Sus scrofa: one gene and its partner. The protein of the gene in region 1 interacts with the protein of each later gene in a pairwise test. Links are inferred from orthologs where the notes say so. Each region holds a gene or a part of one and is shown on either strand. Other genes may lie near its edges.

Region 1 (7,209 bases):
TGCTAGGAGGGGTCCAGGGGTTGAGTGGGCTGGGGGAAGACCCCACTCCTTAGCCAGGTTACACTTTCATTCAACGATGGGCCGGTCTTTGGGGGGAGGGGGGCTGGGTCAAAGAGGGAGGGGGGGCTGGGTCAAAGGAGTGGGGTTAGCACCTTGTTTTCTTCCAGGAACTTGAGCTTGATGGCCACATCTCCCCGCAGCTTCTCGTATTTGTCCCGATGGGCCTGGAAAGTGGCCTGGGCACTCTCGAGTCGACCACGCGTCCCTGCATCGCGGGGGCCTAGGCTCAGCTCCTCTAGGTCTGTCCGGTAGGCATCGTATTCCAGCCTGAGGAGGGGGTGAGAGAGGCTGGTCTCCACCATCCATCCTTTCCCTTCTCCGTGCTCGTGCCCCTAAAGCTCAGACTTCCGCTCATGCCGGCCACCTCCCCAACCCCTGGGCCCTGCCAGTGCCCACACCTGGCAGCCTCATACTGTTTGACAGTCATGAGCGTGTCTTCCATGGTCTTGGTCACCAACGTGTTGATGCTGGAGACAAAGAAGTTCACGGCCCCCAGCAGTGTCTCCCCGTTTTTGCACAGCAGCTTCTGCGTCTCGGCGTTGTAGCCAAATTCCTCCTGAGGGCAGAAGGCAGGGACCGGCCTTGAGCAACGGCCTCCACCTGACCAGAGCTGCGGGGCCCTTCCTGCCCTCCTTCCCCCGGAGGAAACAGCCACTGAACTGGAGCCACCCAGGGCGGCCTCCAGCAAGGCTCTCTTAGCCAGAAGGGTCGTGGGCCCCCCCTGGGGATGCCTAGGGCAGGAACGTGGGAGCGGGGCTCTCGGAGTTCACGGGACTGGAAGAGGGCAAGCCAGTGCAGCAGGCAAGGGAGCGGCTCCGATGAGGCTGGGCACCGAAGGCATTCTCGCCGAGGCCGAGAAGGGCTATTTGCGAGGCACCTAGTGTGCCGCCTCCCCCACCCCCTCCGACTTCTGGACCTCCGTACAAACCCTTAGGCTGCCTCCACTGGTGAGTGCTGCTGGGGGCGGGGCTGGGCCCACCCTGGAGGGGTTCTCCCTCTGGGCTGCAGGAGGGAGGGAGGAGGGAGGCTGAGGGGTGACTGCCTGGGAGGGCCCCGGGCCCAGGCCCCCCTCCCCCTCTGGCCTGCCCAAGGCACCTGAAGCTCTGGGGACTTCTGGCTGAGGTCAGCAAAGGCATCCCCCAGTGCATGCTGGGTCTGCAGCAGGCTGTAGAGGTGGGCTGTCAGGGCCCGGCCCAGCTGCAGGACACTCTCATACTTGCGCTTCGTCTCACGCAGCAGCTCAATTTGCAGCTCTAGCTCCAGGTCCACAGTCCGGGAGCCTCGGCCAAACCGCTCTGATAACAGCTGCTTTGTGCACTGAGTGGGAAGTGGGGGAACAGGTCAGAGACCCTGGCGCCCGGCCCTGCCCCGCAGCAAGTGTCTACCCCGGCGTCCCCAGACTCCAAGTCTCAGCCCGAGATGATGGGACAGGAGGATCCGCAAGATGGGGAAGAGGTACCCGGGGGAGCTCAGGGGGCGGAGGAGGTGCGTGAATCCCACCTTATACGTGTTGATGCCCCATTTCTTGACGATGTCGAACTTCTCTCCAGCGATGCCCCGGGCCACCTCATCCCCGGGGCCAGCAGGAGGGGCGCTGTGAGATGGATGGCGGCCAGACCCTAAAGGACCAAGTTCTCTGACACCAGCCTCTCTCAGACACAATCCGACGCCTCTGTGGTTCCACCCACACTTCCCTCCCAGCACATGAAAATGACGCCCCGGAAGGAGCAGGGCTGGAGACTCACTAGGAGGAATTCATGCCTTGGACCCTGAGACCCAATCCCAACATACACCTGGCCTCCTTTTGACGTGGAGGTGAGGACTGGAAAGGGAGGTGGGAGGGGTTGCTCGTGTGCAGGGGCAGAGGAAACAGCGGAGACTAGGCTGAGAATGGGGTCGCTGACCATGGCTGGGCGCCCCTCGAACCGAACACCTGGCTGACATTCCCATGTGGATCCCAGTCACTGCGAGATTCAGGGCTGCTTGTTCCTCTAAATAGCAGAGTCTAACGTAAGACTCTGATAAGCCTCTCAAAGCTCCAAATCAGATTCAAGCTCCAGAGCAGGGGAGGCCTGGTGAACAGAGTTCTCTGCCTGACTCAGGTAGTGACGGCAGAGAAGGGACAAGTGGGCATATCTGAGGGACAAAGTGGCAAGTGGAGGCAGATGGACACCCCTGGGAACGGGCCTTGGGCTGAGATGCCCGCGGGTTCATCCTGGCAGAGGTTCCCACGAGCTCCAGACATGATTCACGCCTTCTTAGACGTATCCTATGCCCCCTGGAGCCAGTCCTCTTCCCCTCTCCACTCAATGCCCTATCCTGCTCTGATCATTCATACCTGTGGGGATGAGTCCATCACCAGAGCCCCCATAGCCACCAGACACAATGCTGGTTTCATTGAGGTTGGGTCCTGACACCATCACCTGCTGGAGGTCCTATAGGCCAGAGAAGAGGGGGGCTTCAGGAACATATGGGCAGCTGAAGCATTTTGGGGGTGAAAACAAGCTTGGATTGAAGCATCATAGAGAGAGCACACAAGGGAAGTCTGCACAGAATCAGAACAAAGATTGGTAAAAAGACTGAAGGAAATCAGGTGAGTTGGGGGAAGGCTACTGGAAGAAGGAGAGAGCTCAGGGTTTAAGAGTTGGGATTCCTCAACTGAAACAATGTGAAGAATCAAACAGAAGCACCTGCTCCAGCCCATCATCCTCAGGAAGCTGCCCCGCGTCACCATTCCCGTGGATGGGGATCTCCATTGTGGCTGCCTTCCCTAGGATCCCGTCCGTCATGGCGAGCGAAGGGACTGGAGTCAAAGTCTCCACCCCAGCGCCCTGCAAAGCCCAACACAGACAGTTCTGGAAACGGGCCAGTTCTCCGAAGAGGAAGGTCTCCCCTGCCCTTGCAGAGGCCGTCCCGGGGCTTCAGTGTGGTGGGGTCTGCCCACCACTCTTCCCTCGGGGCTTTGTCTTTCTCCCTTCCAAGGTGCAAAGTTTTACACACAGGCACCCAGGCCTCAGGTGTGCCTGACCAGAGGTCATGTTCTCATGACCCCCCCACCCCCACCCCCCCAGCAGTCCAGGGATCATTCATGCATTCAGTCCTTCCACAGACATTTAATGAGTGCCTACTACATGCCACGCACTATTTGAGGCAATGGAGAGAAAGCCTGTGCTCTCAAGCAGCTTATCCCCACGCAGGTATTCCTCCTCATCAGGAGACAATCCCTTTCCCAGCGCTCAGGTGCCTATCCCCGTTCAGGTATGTTCGCCATTGTTTGGCCTTTCACACTCCTCTAATGTCTCCTCCTCTTTCCTGCAGGTGGTCTCCCCCTCCTCCATCCCATGCACCCCCTCTTCCTGCCCCCACCCCCGCCCCAGGCCTTAGTTGAATCAGTTGGTGTAAGTTCCCGACCCCGGGGAAAAGTCCCTTTGCCCCAGGACATAGGGAGGTGATCCCTTCCAAAGTCAGTTAGGTCTCCCCAGGTGTGTGAGTCTCCGCCCTCCCCCCATACACCTGGGCGTCAGGTGTGTCCTCATCCTTTCCCAGGGCTCAGAAGCATCTTGCCCTCAGGTCAGGTTCGTGCGTTCACCTTGCCCTCGCCCATGCACGTCCCTCTCACCTCGGGCCGGGCCGCTCTTCCCCTCAGGGCGCCAGGCCCGGGCCGCGCGGGGATCTCGGGATCCAGTTCCCGTCGCGATCCTAGCAGCAGGTCAGGGACTCGGCGGAAGTGACGTCCTCTCCCGGGCAGAAGAAGCCGGCCACGTAGCCGATTATGAGGGCGGAAGTGACGTCGCGGGGAGGTGGGCGGGCGCTCCTTGAGCCAACCCCTCTGCCCCTGGGGAGCCATTGAGGTCACTTCCGGGGCGTTCCCTAGAAGCTGTAACGGAAGTGACGTAGGTTGTGCGCCGGCGGCGTGATGGAACAGCAACAGCAGCAGCAGCAGCAGCTGAGAAACGTGAGTGGGAGCTAAGTCGCTTAAGGGCCCTGCATCCAGCTAGCATCCCTGTTCGCATGGCGGAAACCCCAGAGAGCCAGGCATCCAAGGGCTGGGAACCACGGGCCGTGGTACACGGTCCTGGGAAAGCGCCGGCAGCGCGGCCTTGAGTTGAGACGTGGCCCCCTCTTCGCTGAGTTCCTTGTCCCCCTTCCTCCCCAGTTGCGGGACTTCCTGTTGGTCTACAATCGGATGACGGAACTCTGCTTCCAGCGCTGCGTGCCCAGCCTGCATCACCGAGCTCTGGATGCCGAGGAGGTTAGGTGGGGGAACTGAGTAGGGAAGTGCTCCTCGAGCCTCAGAGCTAACCGTGCACTGCTTCCCTCTCCCGTCAATTCCCCTACGTCCGGCCCTGGCTTCCCACGACCTCCGCCCTGAGGCTGGGGATGGGAAGGAGGGAAACGGACCTGACTGGACACCTTTGGCTTCTACTTCCACCCTGTCTTCCTTCCAGGAGGCCTGTCTGCACAGCTGTGCCGGGAAGCTGATCCATTCCAACCACCGCCTCATGGCCGCTTACGTGCAGCTCATGCCTGCCCTGGTACAGCGCCGCATCGCTGACTACGAGGCTGCCTCAGCTGTGCCAGGTGTTGCTGCTGAACAGCCAGAAGCCTCGCCATCTGGCAGCTAGCTGTCCTCAACGCTGAGAAGGGAGGCACTGGATGGACCCTCACGTTGAAGGAGCAGTGGACCTTGGGCAAGATGGAGCCTGTATGTAGAGAATGAGGAGTTGCCTGAGAGCTAGGTACTGTTGCTCCTTTTCCTGGAGCTAATAAACCTGCTGTAATCTGTGCGGTTGATATTCTGGGCAGGGAGAAGTTGCCTTCTGTGTGTGGAAGGAAAACCTCAGCATTCCCAGGCACCTGGTTAAAGGAAGGTCTGTGGGTACAGCTTTAAAATTGGCAACAAGACGCTGGTTCGTGCCCAGACGGCAGAGAAAATGGGAACTCTGTCCTTAAATCTGTCTGACTTAAATGGTTCGCTTAGAGATATTAAGGACCATGGATTAAGAAACCACAGGGCTTTTAGGCACTACCTCTTCGAAAGTCAGTAGCCCCAGACAGATGAAACCTATAGGACTTCTGGGTGTTCTAGAACGTTAACCACTCCCCCAAGTTGTTACTTTCTTAATACTCCCAGAAATTGAGCAGTAAATCCTTTAAACCGAGGAGGTCTGTGTGCTCGTCTTCAGGAGCAGTCAGGGGAAAACTTGGGGAGCCATGTTCTGCACTATAGTCAGACTCAAGGGAGAGAAAACCACAGAAGTAGAGGGTGGTGGCTAAGGGGACAAAAAAAAAAAAAAAAAAAAAAAAAAAACAGAAGAAAGGAAAAGCTTTTGGATGTTACGCTCTTGTCTCACTGCTCGCCTGTGATCTCCTAATTCCAGCCCTGCCCCCTACTCTGCATTGTCCCAGCTGTGCCTATCCCATGGTTTCTAATTCCAGCCTCTCCATTCTTTCCTCATTATTGCCTCCCTTGTGGAGTTTACCTCTGTATTCAGCAGTCTCAGTGGCATGTCACTCCATCCCTGAATTTTTTTGCTGCCCTTGTGTCCTTTTTGTATCATTCCACCTGTTTTACTTATTATTATTTATTTTTTGGCCATGCCATGGCATGCAGAAGTTCCCAGGCCAGGGATCAAACTGAAGCCACAGCAGTGACAATGCCGAGTTCTTAACTGCTCGGCCACCAGGGAACTCCCAGTCCAGCTGTTTTAACTTTTCTGGTCCTCCATTCACACAGCTAGAGGAAAACACAGCTGTGTAGTGAATGCCACTAAATATTCCCAGTCCCAGCTGCAACCAAGCTCTACCAACAAATAGCATTTGGAGGGTTCCTGGTCTGTTTGCTCTTCTCATCACCATGGCAGCTGTTTACACCTTCACTGCTCTCCCTAACCCCCCACCTCACCCTCAGCTATTCCCCCTTCGGTGATCATGCTTCGTTTTTATAATGGAAATGGGAGCTTTTAGACAAAAGCTTGGTTGGTTTCCACAGTAGTACTTTTTCAAAAAACTTGAAACCACCCACAAAACAGTTGTTTTCTCCCCCTATACAGGTCAGGATATTGAATTCTTCTGGTAGCAGACTCTCAAAAGGCAGATCTGACTTTACGATATACTTAAAGTATATCTCTTTAAGGGAACTATGCTAGCCTGGTGTCGTTCTCTTTGCTATACCAGGCTGCTTCTCAAAATCGTCTCTTGAGCACCCACTTTGTATAGGTTCTGGTTTCGATATTATCCCCACTTGAGAGATGAGGAGGTAAGAATTCAGTATGTATCAGAAGCCACTGAAATCTCCTTCAGGTCTTCCCGTGAAGTGTCCCATGGACATAATGAGAGCAGTGTGACATTCGAAGCACAACTCGAGGATGAGCTTTGACAAAACTTTATCCTTTTATCACACAAATTATTACACAAGTTTCACTGGAGCAGTCAGGCCATTGCTTCCACTTTTTCTCCATTAACACCTTCCTGTCATTAGATTCCTGTCAAGCTTAAATTCTAGCCATTTGCTTGGAATAGGCTAGATGTCCTTGCTTCTCTTTGTTGGACTTGGATAAGATGAACCATCTGTGCATGCATTTAGGCTTATAAGGGAGTCAGTGTAGGGAGGATTTATATCACCGTGAATCCGTGGTTATCAACTTCAAATGGAGCCTCAGCCCCTGTAATCCCACTAGATTTTTCAAGTCAGCTTTCCTGTTCCCTGCAGTGACTATTTCAAACCAGGATTCTACCTGCACCGTCTCCTCGCTTTTTGCTGGTAGCCTTGTTTTTACCTCGTTAGCAAATGTCGGAGCTGTCAGTGGGGAGCTCCCGCAACTTCTCACAACCCCAAACCCACCTACACCTGCGTCATTCTCTCCTCTCCCTCCTGTCGAAACAGGACCGGCGTCCCTCTTAAGGCCAGTGCCTGTTGCTGCGCCTCCATCCCAGTCCTCCCTCCTGCGGAGAGTGCTGACGTTTCCCCACCTGATTCTTCTCAGCAGCGTCTTAATGAGCTAAAGAGCCCGGTGCAGCAAACAAGCCACTGCCGCCCGGGCACCATCCAGTTTGTTTCTGCTTTTACAGCTCTGACTTCTCTGCATTTCCGTTCCACCCAGTCTGTTTGGACTTCTGCAGCCTTTACTCTGTTGGAAGAGTTCTTCC
Region 2 (7,220 bases), on another chromosome or scaffold:
GGCCGACACCAGAGCCACAGCAACACCAGATCCGAGCCACATCTGTGACCTAATACCACAGCTCAGGGCAACGCTGAATCCTTAACCCACTGAGCAAGGCCAGGGATCGAACCCGCAACCTCATGGCTCCTAGTTGGGTTTGTTAACCACTGAGCCACAATGGGAACTCGCTCTTTCTTTCTTTTTTTCTGGCCACGACTATAGCATATGGAAGTTCCCGGGCCAGGGATCAAACCTGTGCCACAGCAGCGACCCAAGCGGCTGCAGTGACAACACCAGATCCTTAACCTGCTGTGCCACAAGAGAACTCTGGGACCCACAAATCTAAATGCCCAACCTAGGTCGATCAGGGTGCTCTTTTTTAGAAGAGTCAACCGTTACTTCAGAGTCATTCTGATTTTTCTAACATGAATGCTATTCTTGAGCCCCCACAGCCTCACCCTACATCCAAGTTGCTGGTTCAGGGACCCTGCCTTGCTCCAGCTTTACCTCCCACTCAGGCAACAGGAGCTGCCTCTGTGAGGCTGATGCTGAAAAAAGATTTCATTGCTCATGAGCCTACGACTAACACAGAGAGTCACGGTAACAATCATCCTTCTACACAAGCACTTCAGGCGGCAAGTTGTTCTTTTGTAGACCTCCTCTTCTTCAAGGCAGCCCTGAGTGCTCATGTTATTATTGCTATTATGATGATTATTATTAATAGCAGTTGACATTTACTTGGGGCTTACTATGTACTTTGTATAATACTAAGTGTTTTACATGTATTGCCTCAGTTTTTTTTCTTTTTACCGCTGCACCTGCGGCATATGGAAGTTCCCAGGCTAGGAGGCCAATCGGAGCTGAAGCTGTAGGTCTACACCACAGCCACAGCAACACCTGATCCAAGTCACACCTGAGACCTACACCGAAGCTTGTGGCAACGCCGGATCCTTAACCCACTGAACGAGGCCAGGGATCAAACCTGCATCCTCATGGATGCTAGTCGGGTTCTTAACCCACTGAGCCACAACAGGAACTCCTGTATTATCTCATTTAATCTCAGGCCAACATTATCTCGCTCTTTACAGACAAAGAAAATGACGCAGAGAGGATAGATAATTTCGCTAAAATCATACAACTAGAAATTAGCAGAGGCAGGATTTGAACCTAATTTTGTCTGGTTCCAAGGTCCACACTTAATCAATTACCACACCATTTGAACCTAATTTTGTCTGGTTCCAAGGTCCACACTTAATCAATTACCACACCATTTTGCGTCTTAATTCACCTGCAACGAAATTGGTGAAGGGATTTATGCTGTACGCCTGAAACAAACACAATATTGTAAATCAATTATACCTCGAGTTGTTAAAGAACGGTGAGGCGAGCCAAACACAGTGATATGTTTCAAGTCTCAGGCCTCTTGGTCTCTGTTTCTAAAGGTATATGGGGAAGCAGATTCCACAATGTCCCTCAGTTACTGACTCAGCTTTAACAGTCCTAGTTTTAAAGGACTTCCTCCACGAACCAGCAACTCCCACCCACTGTCCTGAGTCCATTTCCTCTATTGTGACTCCAATGGAAAAGAGTAGCAGAGATGAACACACACAGTAAGACCTTTTGTGCACTTAAGACTTCACTTCCACTCCTGCCAACCTGCTGTCTGCCCTCCTTAACACTTGAATTCAGTTTAATAATAATGGCTACCATTCACTGGCACCTTGGACATACGCTGGCTCCTTTCTCCCTAATCACCAGGATCCCAATTTGTAGATGACACTCTGAAGGACTTAGATCTGATAGAGAGACTCCCTTGCCCACAATGGGGAAGCAGGATATCTGAGATTTCAGATAAATAATAACTCTGTGTTCTAATATTTTTTTTTTTTTGTCTTTTTGCCTTTTTCTAGGGCCGCACCTACAGCATATGGAGGTTCCCAGGCTAGGGGTCCAATTGGAACTGCAGCCACTGGCCTACACCACAGCCACAGCAACGTGGGACCCGAGCTGCGTCTGCGACCTACACCACAGCTCACGACAATGCAGAATCCTTAACCCACTGAGCAAGGCCAGGGATCGAACCCGCAACCTCATGGTTCCTAGTTGGATTCGTTAACCACTGTGCCACGACAGGAATTCCTAATATTTTTCTTTTTGCGTCTTCGCTTCATTATCCATGGTTGTTCTGGGCTTCTTAGGAAGATGGACAGACCAAGGACTCTAAATTACAAAAGCTAAGGACCTTTATGCCCTCATTCAGCTATCTTCGGGCACTCTCCCTGATGGCCAGGCCACCTCTTTCTCTTTCATTAAACTGTGGTCAGAAAACCTGAGTTTTACTCATTTACATCCTGAGTGCCTACTGTGCACAAGTAGTATGGGAAGTACAAAATGGCATCCAACTCCTACACTCAAAAAGCTTCTTCTCTTTGGAAAAGCAAGACATACTCAAAAGAATTTTGACTAAACAAGCTAATAACTCTATGCTAGGAGACCAGAGGCATGTGAATACGTGATACATAAGAACCCTTTCCAGCTGAATCAAAGGTCAATGATTCATTCTCTGAAAAGGTGAACTCAACGGATCAGCTTCTTTCTCAGAATGAGCTTTTAAAGACATGTTATTCAAACTCACGTCTAATGTACAATGACCAATTCACTGACCCATTCCAGTCATAGTAAGTGGAGACGCCTGCTCCAACAACAAGCTCCAGACAAAATGGCAGCAAAGATTGTCACCACCTGATAAGGGACAGGGAAGGAAATAGGCAGAGACTAGATTCTGTTCTGCTGCACTGACCCAAGCAATCAGACTCCTGCAGCAGATCTCCTATCAAATAAAACTTTCATGCCAAAGACCAGGGATGACCCAATCAACGGCGGCAGAGACAGGTTTTAAGTTACACTTCTCCCTCACCCGATGACCTCACTATTTCTTCTCACTCCTGACCACATACCACACTCCCCCTGGCCTGGCCAGAGGGAGACTGGCAGTAATACAACCCAGAAAGAAGGGAACTCCCCCAGACGAGGAGCTACCACTTTGCTCATCAAGTGGTTCGTTTTAACAGGGAATTCCACTCCCCCCCTTCCTCCCTCAAGCACTGGTGTAAGCAATGGCTCCATTTTCTGTTCCGGGAATCCTGGTACTTCCTAAAGAAAGAAAGCGGATTGGAAGACACAAACTCAGAGCCAGCGACAAGATGCTCCCTCCTCCTGTGAGACCGCCCCCGCTTCGCCTGGGGGAGGAAGGCACCACCTCTCTTCTCCAACCAAGATCAGATCCCCCTCCCCCTTCCCTGCCGCCTCCCCTCCTGCTCCTCACCTGCTGCCCTCTTCCCAACCTGCGGTTCCCAAGACCCGAAAGCACAATCTCTACCAGAACAGTGCCCCTGCGGTGCCCACGAGCCTGCGTTCCCGGCTAATCCCTAAACCCCCTATGCACCCCTGCCCCATGATGTGGGGGGAGGAGGTGTCACCATGGCAAGCTTCTCTCTGATCCATTACTAAGGTGGAGGAGGAGCGGGGGCAGGAAAAAAGCGACATTCTCTAGCCCTTTAATAGGAAAAGGATATAAAACAACCATCACCGCCCCCACGTCACCTCTCCCTGGACTGCTCTCCTCCCCCTCAGCCCCAACCCCTCAAAAGCCCACCTCCTGCAGGCGAGGGGAACCTAACTGCAGCCCAGGTCGCCCCCTTGTGCGAGACGGAGGACAAATCCGTGTGCGCCCCCCACCCCCACCCCAGCTCCGCGTCCTTCAAATGCGGGGGCAGGCGTGAGGATGGCCCAGCGGCCCCTCTCCGAGCTCTCGGGTGGGAAGGACCCCACCGTCCGATGCCAGGCACGGCCGTGCGAGCTTGGGGACGGGAGGGGGGGTTGCTCTATCCTCTCAGCCACCACCCCGAGCCTCTCCTCTACCCGGACCCGCCTTCTCTCCTCAGCCCCTCACCTGTTCCTGCTCGCAGCTCTGCCGCTGCGGCCGCCGCCTCCGCCCCCGCGGGTTCCGCTCGGCTCTCGCTCCACTCTCTCCGGCTCCCTCAGCCGATTTCAGCGCTGCTGCTCCCCTGGCCCCGCTCCCAGCTCCCTCCTTCCTTCCCACCACCTAGCACCGGAAGCCGCGACGGCGACAGGAGCTGTGCGCCGCACCCCCACCCCCAGGCCGGGATACTTCCCACCTCCCCGATCGCGCGAGAGTTGCGCGGCGGTGAGCGGCAGTTCTCGCGAGATCCATCACCATGGCAGCGGCTGCAGCAGTGGCAGCCGGGTGTTGGAGCTGGAGTCCGGGAGGGGGCCGAAATGGGGGCTGGAATCTGCGGGTGGAGGAGGCGGGAGCTACGGAATGGGGGTGAGGCAGTGGGGACAGAGGTGAGAATCCCAAGCCCCAGGGCGGTGCTTGGAATTTAAAGACGGGCCGGATAGTGGGTACACTGGAGACTGGGGCTCCTTGGAAGTCCGGAAGGAGCAGAGTATGATTGAACAGCCCTTGCTTTGGCCCTTACCCCTTCAGATTTCTGTATTTCTTAACCAGAGGTAGGTGCACGCCCTGAGAGCCCTCGCTGCACCAGTGTTGCTACTCACTACTAGCACTAGGTTACCCCGGGGTCAGAATCAAGAGATTTTTTACATTGGGAAGGAGGAGAGTGATGAATTTAAGAGATTGAAGGAAACAACTGGACGCTGGGCCAGTTGGGAAGCTGGAACTTGAATGACAGTTGAGGCGTCATATTCAGAGATGTGGTTTGAGGAAGTATTTCAGATGAATATGAGTTTTAACATTATAAGGATAGTGAGGGATCCTGCACCCACGTTTCTCTATTCCTGCCCACCCCCACTTTCCTCACACCATTTCTGCACCTGGTCTAGACATGCAAAGCTACCTTGGAACAGCTACAGCTGTGATACAAGAAGGGTACTAGTAATACTAAAGAACAGAAGAAGGTTCTTTTTTTTGGCGGGTATGGGGTACAGCACGTCCATGGCATGCAGAGGTTCCTGGCCCAAGAATTGAACCCAGGCCACGGCAGTAATCTGAGCCACAGCAGTGACCACACCGGGTCCTTAACCCCTGGAGCCACCAGGGAACTCCCAGAAGAAGGTTCTTGATGTGCCCTCTGTCCTCATTTACGGCAGTTCAGACCTTTCTCAGCTTACAACGGGGTTGCATCCCAATAAAACCCATCATAGATTGAAAATATCTTTAAGCTGAAAACGAATTTATGCCTAATCTACCAAACATCATAGCAGCCTAGCCTGCCTTAAACATGTTCAGAACACTTACGCTAGCCTATAGTTTGGAAGAACAATCTAACACAAAGCCTGTTTTGTAATAAAGTGTTGAATATCTTATGTAATCTGTTGAATACTAAAAGTGAAAAGCAGAATGGTTGTATGGGCACAGAATGGTTGTAAGTGTGTCAGTTCTTTACGCTTGTGACAGCATGGCCGACTGGGAGCTACAGCTCACTGCCACTGCCCAGCATCTCAAGAGAATATCCTACCGCATTTTGCTAGCCTGGGAAAAGATCAAAATGCAAGATTTAAATTATGGTTTCTACTCAATGCGTATCACTTTTGCATGATTGTAAAGTAAAAAAATTATAAGTTGAGCCATTGTAAGTTGGGACCATCTGTATATGGGAACACATGGCTCTTCCCTAAAGCTTGAGCCAAAATTGTTGCTTTTCTGGATTTTTTTTTTTTTTTTTTGCCTTGTTTCTTGTCTCCTTCCAAGAAGAACTAGACTGGTCGATAGCTAAACTATGTCTACCCCTTGTCCCCATGAATCCCTTGTGTATGCATTCGCCAGTCCCTTCCTCATATCCCACTTTCTTTTCTCTTGTATTTTAACCCGGAGAAGAACACAACCCTAGAATGCGACGCCAAGAAGACCTGAATTTAAAATACTGAAGGATGAGGCGGACAACAAAGAGCATGTTTGTGACAAAGAGAGCTGTATCTGTCCTGGGCTGTCGCCATTAAGGGCCTTTTCCCTCCTAAGCTCTGTGTTTTAAATGGCAGAAGACTCCTCCAGGGTGATTAGAGACTCCTAGAGTGGGCCCTTTGATACCTCCACATGCTTACTCTTTCCATCCCTTTCTCTAGAATCTTCTAGGCACACCCCACCAGATTATGCCCACACACTGATCACCAAAATGAAGGCTTTGCAACGGCCCTTGCTAGTGTCTCAGCAGTACCAGCATTGCCTTGTGGAACTCCAACAGGACGTGACACCTGTCAGTGTTCCTTCTGAAGACCTCAGATCTTCTCAAGGTTGGGTCCCAAGTGTGACGGAAGGATGGAATGGTAACGGTCGAATATGGTTAGCCGTCAGTACCATGGTATTTGAGTCAGAACTGATGAATGGAACCTGGAGAATCTCGAGGCCCTTCTGTCCCTGATTCTTTTGGAGTCTGGAGAGGAAAGTGTCTGTTGCAGCATTACTGGGTGCTTCCCACGGAGCAAACAGGAGCACAGACAGGAGGGGTGCTTCCCAACTGGCAATGAGCCAGCCACCCTCCAGCTTCCCTGCTACTTGAAAGGCTAAGGGGAGAAGAGCTGGGCCAGAGCTGAAGGAAGCCAAGAAGCCTGACTTACAGTTCCTCAGTCTTTCTCCCTCCCTCTGGCTGCCACTGGAGCTCAGTAAAAGCTGAAATTTTAGCCACCCGCTCTGTGGGTTGCACACTCCCACTCCCGTCACTGACCCCAGGCCTGGGCCTGAGCCCAGCGCGTGTGCCGGGAGCAGGGGTGGGGAGGGGGTGTTGGCCTTGCTGACAAAATCCATTTGGAATTTCTCAAGGTTGTGGTTTGGGGCTTAAGTTTGCCACAGAGTGTGTCTGACGAAAGAAGAGAGAAAGCTAGAAAGAGAGAGGGAGCCAGAGAGAGCAGAGAGGAAGGAAATGAGGGGAAAAACTGAGATATTCCTGCTGTGATTTCATTGGGGATTCTCCTACCTCCTCCTGAGTGTGAGAAATTCCCATTCTAGATATTCCTTTTCATTATTCTCTCTCATATCCCTTGTCTCCTCTAGCTGTATCCCTCTCTCTCCCACTAGCTTCTACACACACTGGGCTCAGTCAGAACCTAAGGTCCTGCCTCCATCAAATTGCCAAACCAAGAATTCTCAGTGCACAAGTGAGAATTCAGGACATAAAGTTTTGCCATGAAGTACTGCCCTAATCCAATACTCTTTCCTGTCCTTGCTCTCCTGATGCTACCATTATTTCACCTGATTTTGA

Evidence for each region. The genes of interacting proteins can lie anywhere in the genome.
Region 2: the proteins of ARFIP2 (region 1) and ARF3 interact in a two-hybrid assay, tested with the Homo sapiens proteins (2 studies listed by BioGRID and IntAct). The link is inferred for Sus scrofa from reciprocal best matches to the Homo sapiens genes ARFIP2 and ARF3.

The regions. Positions count from the first base shown.
Region 1 is NC_010451.4:3,246,636-3,253,844, reverse strand, and holds the start of ARFIP2 (arfaptin-2), read right to left. Parts: upstream 3,835-7,209; 5' UTR 3,680-3,834; intron 2,892-3,679; 5' UTR 2,850-2,891; coding exon 2,751-2,849; intron 2,496-2,750; coding exon 2,399-2,495; intron 1,680-2,398; coding exon 1,561-1,679; intron 1,378-1,560; coding exon 1,156-1,377; intron 617-1,155; coding exon 459-616; intron 328-458; coding exon 153-327; intron 1-152. Other genes in the region: TIMM10B (mitochondrial import inner membrane translocase subunit Tim10 B), read left to right, coding at 3,977-4,015, 4,217-4,312, 4,509-4,685. UniProt on the Homo sapiens protein: Plays a role in constitutive metalloproteinase (MMP) secretion from the trans Golgi network. May have important functions during vesicle biogenesis at certain cargo subdomains, which could be predominantly utilized by secreted MMPs, such as MMP7 and MMP2.
Region 2 is NC_010447.5:14,988,831-14,996,050, forward strand, and holds the start of ARF3 (ADP-ribosylation factor 3), read right to left. Parts: upstream 4,187-7,220; 5' UTR 3,935-4,186; intron 1-3,934.